Neodiprion lecontei: one gene and its partner. The protein of the gene in region 1 interacts with the protein of each later gene in a pairwise test. Links are inferred from orthologs where the notes say so. Each region holds a gene or a part of one and is shown in the gene's direction. Other genes may lie near its edges.

Region 1 (3,931 bases):
TAAGCCTCGCTCTATTAAATCTTGCAGCGATGAATATGAGAAATATCAAATTTGGAATGAGTATTACAACGTCCCATATTCTCACTCTGAAAATAAAATGTTGCCTTAGAGCAATAGTAAGAAATGTAGTTTTGTTGGTCGACTCGGCTCTTGAAGGCTTATTGTCGTAAAACTATTTTGATTTCGTCATTTTAAAATACTGTACAAGTTACCTGGAATCTGCAATTTCCTTATATAAAATCAATTTACAAAAGTAATCTTCCTCTCCCATAGCCAAACTAATGTTTGGATCTATCGTAGTGCCGAGTAATCGTCGAAAGTGTACCTCAGACACGGTTTCCAATTCTACGTTACCATACATTGTTTTCTTACACAATGAAAGACTCTATACAAATTTTAGGCATAACAGTTTCCCATTGAATACGTAGGTGGAATTCTGAAAGACAAAAGAAATTGCTTACTAAATACATAATAAATTTAAAAATAAACTGTTCCAATCACAACTTAAGCAGCAGATGAATCTCATAGGTTTATATTGAGAATGATGTCAAGTATGCAAACAGTAACGAAGAATAGAACCGCAAATTTTAGATTAATTATTACACTCATGTAGGGTAAATTTGTTGTCAATAAACAATGTGACTCTAAAATTTGCTATCGCAAATCAATTCTTTGGATAAATTTATTCACAGAACAAAGAAGTTCTAAAATACTGCGTAGAAGTTTGCATTGATTTCGAGTATAAACATAACCTTCTTAAGATCCCATGATAAGTGTTGCGTTCGAAAGGTTGAGTATAATTGATAAACAGAAATCAGATTCCCAGTTAGAAAACGAATGAAAATACGCGTTAAGGGATTTTTTTACAAGTAAAGTAAACGTTGATCCGAAAATTGATAGAGATGCAAAATTTTTCGAGCTGTCAAACTCTTTGTCAAACGTTAAAGAAAATATGTAGTCGCATAATGTGTTTACCGTAATGAAATTATTTTCTAATCAACTTACGGATTATATGACTCCCGATAGTGTCATAACTCTGGAGAAATGAACTCTCTGTGATGAGGCTAAGCAAAAGTCCCGACTTATCGTGGTGTCGAGTGTTTTTTCAACCTTAGGCCAAATGTTCAATGCCCATTTTGTTCTCTGTAGCAGACTACACCATTCGATAATCTGGAAGCAGCGATGGATGCCGACTTTTCAGGTTCTGAGCGGTACAACGAGCTGTGAATTATTCGCCAAGCGAAGTAACCCCATACCGTGTACTTTGCAGCGAGTATAAAAAGCGCGATACTTGTTGGCCGAGAAGTCATTACATCTCGGAGAAAAAAATTATTCGCGAGATAGGATAGGTACTATAACAACATGGCTATCGGTTCGTTGATTCGTGGGTCGTGACGCACTTAACGCTGTCAGTGTCAGGTGACGCTGGATTACGTTGCTCAGCTCATAAACATGGCAGCTCGGTTTTCAAATTACTCAGAGAGATAACAGGCAATTATTTCACATTTTACCGCTGATCTCGCGTGTACCATTCGCAATAATTGAAATGGCTAGCGATTATTCGAACCATTTGTTGAAAAACGTGCATTTAGGTTTGTCACAACCGGCGAACGGTGAAAGTTTTTTTGTCACAAGCGAATACGAGTACTGGCATTACGGCTGCGATGGCGTAAACGACAGGGTAAACATATTTAATCAAGTTTTTGCACACGAGTTACTCGTGATACACTATTATTCAATAACATTCTCGAACGCGGTACAATCGTGAGTTTCTGATTCCCCTATGTTTACTCGAATACTTCTAGCCAAAGCTTCCAACATTGCAAACGTTAACAAATACCCGACACGCTATTGGGTAATTTCATCTGAAACGACCAATGGGATCGTGTGTACATATTTTAGAAACTTACACTACGGTTAATGGCACTGTTAAATATTATTTAATCACTGAAACTCATTATCTGCATTACTTCATTATACAATTATATCTTACATCAATTATTATTGATGTACAATTACGTTAAATAACCAGACTTTTACTTACATTGAATCATGGTCTCGCAATTCCCTGTGCGACTTAAAATCTTTACTGCGTATGTTCCGAATAAATTTTTAATATCGTGAATAAAATTTAGATGTTTGAATCTGTCGCGTAGTCATACGTGATCTCAAAAGTTGTTAAATATTATGTGAAATATGCACAAAAAGTACGTTTTTCATATCTGCCCGCGTAATACAATTGTAAACAAGGGAAAAAGTTATTGTTAGTCTTGAGCTACAGATTTATAGTCCATTTACGAAATATCTAAATATATGAGAAGTATTTTTCTCAACTGAACTCCACTGCACTAATATTTCTTCCTGGAGTTCCAAGACCTGACTGAAACAGTCTGGTTAGCAAAGATTGCTACGCTTGGCGAAGCATGAATCCTCATAAAAGTAGCGTAACATTGAATTAATGTAACTTAATAAAATTATTATTATTATTCAGGGATGGGGCTGCGGATACAGAACTCTGCAAACTATCATCTCGTGGATTGTAAAGAATTTGGAAACTGCTAGGCCTGTCCCTAGTTTGAGGGAAATCCAAGAGATTCTTATTAGTCTAGAAGACAAGGAGAGCTTTTTTCTTGGCTCACGAGACTGGATCGGCAGTTTTGAAGTGAGAACAAATTTTTTCTGATAAAGCTACCACTCTCTTGAAAATTCTAATACTGTACATTTCCGTGTATTTCCCCGCATGTTCTCATTTAGTCTCTTCTTCATTTTATTTCAAGGTCTGCCTCGTCATCGACCAGCGTTACGGAGTTCCCAGTAAAATTATACATGTACCTAGTGGTAAAGATTTAAAGAAGTATTCGGATGCTATAAAACAACACTTCATAGAATTTGGCAGTCCAATAATGATGGGTGGGGATAGAGATTGCTCTAGTAAGGGAATTATGGGTATACATTACAGTGCGAAGGAGATAAGTTTGCTCATAGTAGACCCGCACTTTGTGGGCAAAGCTAAAAACGCTGAGCAGTTAGCCAATGATGGCTGGGTGAAATGGCAGTCTTTGACAGATTTTGTAGACAGTTCGTTTTACAATCTTTGTTTACCTCAAATAAAACATAAATCTTTTAGCGAATAAATCAAGAAAAAAAAATACCCCTACTTTTTTTTCCTGAGATAAAAGATGACAATGAAAGTCAGTTGTTTGCAGTAATGTTGTGTAATCACTTGTTCAATGTTACATTATCCTTATATTGACTACGAAGTGAGGAAAATCAACAAATTCGAGTTGATTAGTTTGCAGTACTTGAAAACGAAAAAAAGCATAAAACTTTGTGCTCAGTTAATAACACAGATTCGAAAACTGTATAAAGAATATTATGACTTACTGATTCTAAGCAAGTATGTGCGGCATTTCTTCTTGCGGCTTAAATGGAACGGATACTTACATGTAAAAGATTCATGCGATACATTTCCCACATGCATTTAGGTAAAAATAAATTCTCTCCGTCTCCGAGATTTAATATTTGCATATGTACAGACGAACTCCTCTAAAGAAAACTTAATCACGAGATTGTCAATCTGAGTTCAGCAGTAGACATACACCCTGCAGTACCCAATGTGAAATATGCTCTGTAGTTGCCAGGTCTGCTTCAAAGACCAAACCAACACCCATAGCATTGCGTCTGTTCGACGTCGTGTATACTGGCGTTTTCAACGTGTTCTAAGTGAAACAAATATTCAATGATGATTTGATTTCTCATTTTTTTGTTCAAATGCGTATGGATAATGTGTTATCACTTTGCCCACATGGTCAAAAACGCATAGTTGTTACTCAATTACACATATTTAGAGGAATTTACCTGTAATTTCAATCGATGAGCCTCTATTGGTATCACAGTGAGCACTGGCAGTTCTTCGATTAGTACTTTCGGA
Region 2 (5,068 bases), on another chromosome or scaffold:
CGCCTTCTGTTTCTGATTCAGATTCGACGGAACGGATATTTTTATTTCAATATAGTGATCGCCGTATCCCATACTGTTAACTTTCTTTAAACCTTTCCCGGTTAGGCGTATTCTTGTGTGCGAAGAAGTACCGGGGCGTATTTGTATCGTCTGATCCTCATATACACCTTCAACTCTTATTGTACCACCAAGAACTGCCTGAGCCAATGATATTTCGGCACTTGTATGGACGTCTGGACCCTCGCGACGGAAATACTTTGACTTCTCAACCCGGAATGTTATAAAGACTTCTTTGTTGCCCACCGCCATTCTCACTGTTTGACCATCTTCAACGCCAGCTGGAACGGGGACTGTCACTTTTTTACGTTGCACCTGAAAAAGTTTCATCAGCGAGGAGTGTCAGCATCATTCTCTATTCTCATTGTTCAAAGTTGCAGAGAAAAATTGAACTTACCGTTTGACCTTTCCCTTCGCATTCACCGCACGGATACTTGATATACATTCTGGATCCCTGGCAGAAGCGACAAGTCGATCTCATCACGAATGGACCAGTACTTATTGTCTCCATACCAGTTCCATTGCAGTGTTGACAGCGTACCGCCTTTGTACCTAGCTCGCAACGACTTCCGGAACATTTCGGACATGTGTCCACAACGTTTATGTTTACATCTTTGTTAACACCACGAGCGGCTTGGGAAAATGTCAAGTTCATGATGACCTAGGAAACGTATAAGCAAAGCATAGGTATAAGTTTTGTCAGTTAAATATTGAAAGGTTACACATGAGGAACGTGAGTAGAGTGAATACTATAGAATGCAAATTAAATTACTTCATTTGCAAAAAAAATACCAATTTGTAACAAGTGATTTTCTACCTCTTGCGATGCTCCAAAGCCGAAGTTACTCTCAGCAAAGTCCTCATACTCGGTGAATCCTCCGGTCTGAAACCCAGCCTCGCCAAATATTTTTCTGAATAATTCTTCGGGATTGACGGTCGATCTGAATTGCCAATTTTGGCCAAAGTCCTGAGCTCCTTGGCGCTGTCCACCACCACCCATGCCCATCTGTTCGGAAGTGGCACCCCAGGTATCGAACTCCTTTCTTTTACCCTCATCACTGAGCACTTCATAGGCTTCGGATACCTCCTGAAATTTTTTTCCAGCATTGGGATCCCCCTTGTTTGTATCGGGATGATACTTTTTGGCAAGCTCATAGTACGCCTTTTTGATATCCTTTTGAGAGGCGTTTTTCGGCACGCCTAGTATCTCGTAGTAATTACGCCTTGCCAAAAGCTTGTAGGTGGTGTGAAAACCGCGGCGCGGAAGCGGCGCCGATTTCGCTTGTATATCTGCAAAAGGAACGTTTGATTAAAAATGAGATAGTCACAAGTGCTGGAAATTATTTAAGGTTATGAACGACGGTCGTCTAAAAGAGGGTGAAACAGGTCGTGAGATCGGCAGACGAAGGTGAAACCCTTTTGCTCGGTTAAACAACTTTGCGGCAAGCAGTCAGGCGAATTTAGAACGAGACGATGTCGCGAACATGAAGAGGGCATGATGTAATCTAGAAATGTCTACGGTATGCGGTGCGTTACGTTTTTCGTATTTCCGATGACTCCACAACTCGACACCAAGCGCCGAGCCCGAGAAAAGACGCCGACAGGTGTTGCATTGTTGTAAGGTGACCGATGCTAGATTATTCAACTTATTACAACCGATTAAAGAGATACTTTTTGGCCGAAGAATTACCGCAAGACCCTTAGTCGTGGCCATCTTTGATATGAAGGGACATGCGGGCGACTGTCACGTGACCACTGAAATACAAGAATACTACCCTTGGACCGATCGAATGTTCCACAAATTCTTCATTCAACGTCTACAAATTGCAATACCCGATAGCCGTGATATTTCTTCTCCCGTTTAAGCAGAATTTATTGTGTATTCACTGTTATTACGTACTTTTGCACCAAAGACACGTGTTTTTGGCTGATTAAAATCAATAAAGTTGGCGATCTTCAGACTGATTTTCGTCGAGCTATATATCGATATCTCGATCTCTCGCAATCGGATGTAATAATTCAGCCAACTTCGGGTCACACACAATTGTGTCGCTTCTATTTCCTTTGAGGTTATTCCCATACATAGGAAATTAATTTCTTCAATTCTAGTTGGCGTAATAAAGGGCGTCCTTAACCATGGCGTGAGTATATTTTATGTTGTTGTCATAAAATCGCACGACTCTTATTGCTAAATTTCGTTTGATTCGACTTAGACAATTCTAATAATTGACAAAGCTGGTCACACGCGCTGACAAACATCTGTTTCAGGAAATGAAATGACAGATCATAATGAAAGATTGAATTGAATGTAATTTGAAATTACGAATGATTTCAGATCAAAAGTAACGTTCAAGATTACTCTCACGTCTGATCCAAAGCTACCTTTCAAAGTGTAAGTATAAAATGTAATTTGTAAACAAAGCAGAGACTGGAGAATTATATCTATATTCATTACAGACACCCTATTCAGACTGTTAATTTTGAGAAAAAAAATCTGTTTTTATTTCGTTTTGTTGAACAGATGATGCGGAGGCATTTACTCTCCAAAGAGCGACGGAATTTGGCCTATGAATACAGAAATAAAGTTTTTCCTACTAACGATGAGCTGCCAAAATAACGTGTCAGAGACTCAGTTTATACAGATATTGAAAGCGATCGATAGGTACTTGACCATAATAGAAAGCCGGAGTCTTGCGGCGCAGGCTAATATCGAAAGCGTGTCACAAATATTTAGCTATGCACTGTTCGTAGAGGCCACGATAGTCGAAGCAGAGAAAGAAAACAAGCTAGACATGTTTGAGAACCATTTGAGGGACTGGTGGAAGAGCGAAAATCGCAATTACTTTTACCCGTGTTCAATTCTAAAAAAAGCCTGTGACAAACTCCTTGAAGTTTACATGAAAAGCACTGTTGTTTCAACGGCTGTAGTCGATCAGTTGATAAATCTGTACATACAGTCATGCGGAAAGCCCAGACTCGCTCAATTTATTGAACAATTATTAATCCAGTCAGTTTCCAACAATGCTGTGATAGATTTGTTACAGGAATTGGGTATAGATATTTCGAATTTCGACGATGACGCTATGATTCAATCGTGGGAGGATGTAACAGGTCAGGGTAAACAGACAGAGGTCTCAGAATGCGTCGAGAGAATGTTGAAAGATGGTTTCATGCCTAAGCTCGTTAGGATTTTTTTGGAACTAACTGAGACAAACAGTGTCAAAAAGATACTCAGGAATTGTTTTGTGTCGAAATTAAACGCGTACGATGTAGAATTCACTCTGAGTTTTTTAGATCTCGAAGAGGAACTATTTTACAAAATCCTCATTGAAGACTTGGGTTTTCGAACCAGCTTCGTAGATACTATATTTTATTTTGGTAGAAATATGACGCACGATGGCGAATCTTGGGTGTCTAAAAATCTGTTTAAACACAACGACCTTGTGAGTTTTATGAAAATTTTTCTAAGTGGTCCTTCTACAATTCGTCGATACGTCAATAAGACGCTAAACTTTGCTAAAAATGATCCAATGCCCAACGTTTGGCAGGATATACAACCATGACGATTGATCGACCTTACAACAGTAAACTAGGTATCAGCTGGTTGAATACTGTATAGTTATATTACGTGTAAAATGCTGTGTGTTTAACATGTGTACAAATCATTTTTTCAAAGATACTATTAAACTTTTTTTACGTAATACCTTAACTTTCGAACATTCATTTCTCATCTCTTGACAATCATTCCCAATTGCATTAAATCATGTTGCGAGATAAACCCAAATTATTTAAAGCGCACCTTTGATTGACTGTAGAGAAAAACAAAAAAATCCTTGCTTTTTTACAGACTCAGCGTTCCAGACAACACACCGTTTACCGCAGTACTTAAATTTGCTGCTGAAGAATTCAAGGTAGCGCCGGCTACGTCAGCAATCATCACTGACGACGGTGTAGGAATCAATCCGCAACAGACAGCGGGTAAAACTTAGTTCTAAAAAATTTTTTACACTTTTTTTTTCACTCACACGCGTAGTGATGATTAATGATTTTTTTAGGCAACGTCTTTTTGAAACACGGCTCCGAACTGAGGCTCATACCACGAGACAGAGTGGGCAACCAGTGCAGTTGATTCCGATAATCTACACATTTTTCCGTTTTCTTTTTCTTTTTTTTTGAATTTTTGAAGAAAGAAAAAACTAAATGATAATATATTATTGATTTGTAAATATTGAAAGTTGAAATTGATTTTCAATAAAAATGATAATGACAATATCAATGCTTCCCTACATACTGCATTATTGATTTTTTTTATTCAATTTTATTACCCCACACTCTTTGCATCCAGATAGGTATGTAGATACAATATAGCAGGAGACGAAAATACCTTGGGGGGAAAAAGGATGTTGACTTACTTGACAAGGTGAAATAAACTCTCATGATTGCACATTTCAAAATTTCACCCTGAGACGCTCACTGGAAATCGCAACAAATCGATGGATTGAAGGGATCCCCGAACATGGGTGCTACTTTGTAACGTGGGACCTGAAGGCATTCGGTAGAAATGTTTTATAGATGAAATACATTTAAAGATACAAGGTCGATACAAAGGTACATCACTACACGACAAATTACAGTATACACGACGGATGCCATTCGCAGCACAGAATACCAAAGGAAAGTTTTAGTACAAAGTATCATTCGTTCCTTTTTTCTAACAGCAAATTTAGAAATAATGATATTCATTTTTTTATAGTGTTACATCAATAAAATTTGAAATTCTGTGTTGGGAATAACACTGCATTGCTGTATTGGAAATTTAATCGCTTGGATCTAAATTGTTCATAAATAGTAATGAAAGCAACAGAAAATATGAAAAAGAAAGTGAATGAATGAATGAATGAATGAATCACAGTAAAATAATGATTATAGAAATAGGCTTACGTGATAGAAAAATAATATTAAAATATCTTAATATCATTCCTGTCACAACCAACCTAAATTTGTTATATAT

The links.
Region 2: the proteins of ufm1-specific protease 1 (region 1) and ubiquitin-fold modifier 1 interact in binary tests that used the Drosophila melanogaster proteins (3 or more experiments, as listed by UniProt). The link is inferred for Neodiprion lecontei from reciprocal best matches to the Drosophila melanogaster genes Ufsp1 and Ufm1.

What each region holds. Positions count from the first base shown.
Region 1 is NC_060260.1:30,653,872-30,657,802, forward strand, and holds ufm1-specific protease 1, read left to right. Parts: upstream 1-1,546; coding exon 1,547-1,681; intron 1,682-2,044; exon of another isoform or gene 2,045-2,178; intron 2,179-2,491; coding exon 2,492-2,662; intron 2,663-2,777; coding exon 2,778-3,134; 3' UTR 3,135-3,139; downstream 3,140-3,931. Other genes in the region: uncharacterized protein LOC107223302, read right to left, coding at 1-104, 213-361; dynein axonemal heavy chain 10-like, read right to left, coding at 3,573-3,719, 3,859-3,931. UniProt on the Drosophila melanogaster protein: Thiol protease which recognizes and hydrolyzes the peptide bond at the C-terminal Gly of UFM1, a ubiquitin-like modifier protein bound to a number of target proteins.
Region 2 is NC_060263.1:16,362,045-16,367,112, forward strand, and holds ubiquitin-fold modifier 1, read left to right. Parts: upstream 1-2,053; 5' UTR 2,054-2,193; coding exon 2,194-2,198; intron 2,199-2,392; coding exon 2,393-2,449; intron 2,450-3,904; coding exon 3,905-4,035; intron 4,036-4,112; coding exon 4,113-4,186; 3' UTR 4,187-4,343; downstream 4,344-5,068. Other genes in the region: protein tumorous imaginal discs, mitochondrial, read right to left, coding at 1-372, 455-718, 875-1,347, 1,594-1,771. UniProt on the Drosophila melanogaster protein: Ubiquitin-like modifier which can be covalently attached via an isopeptide bond to substrate proteins as a monomer or a lysine-linked polymer.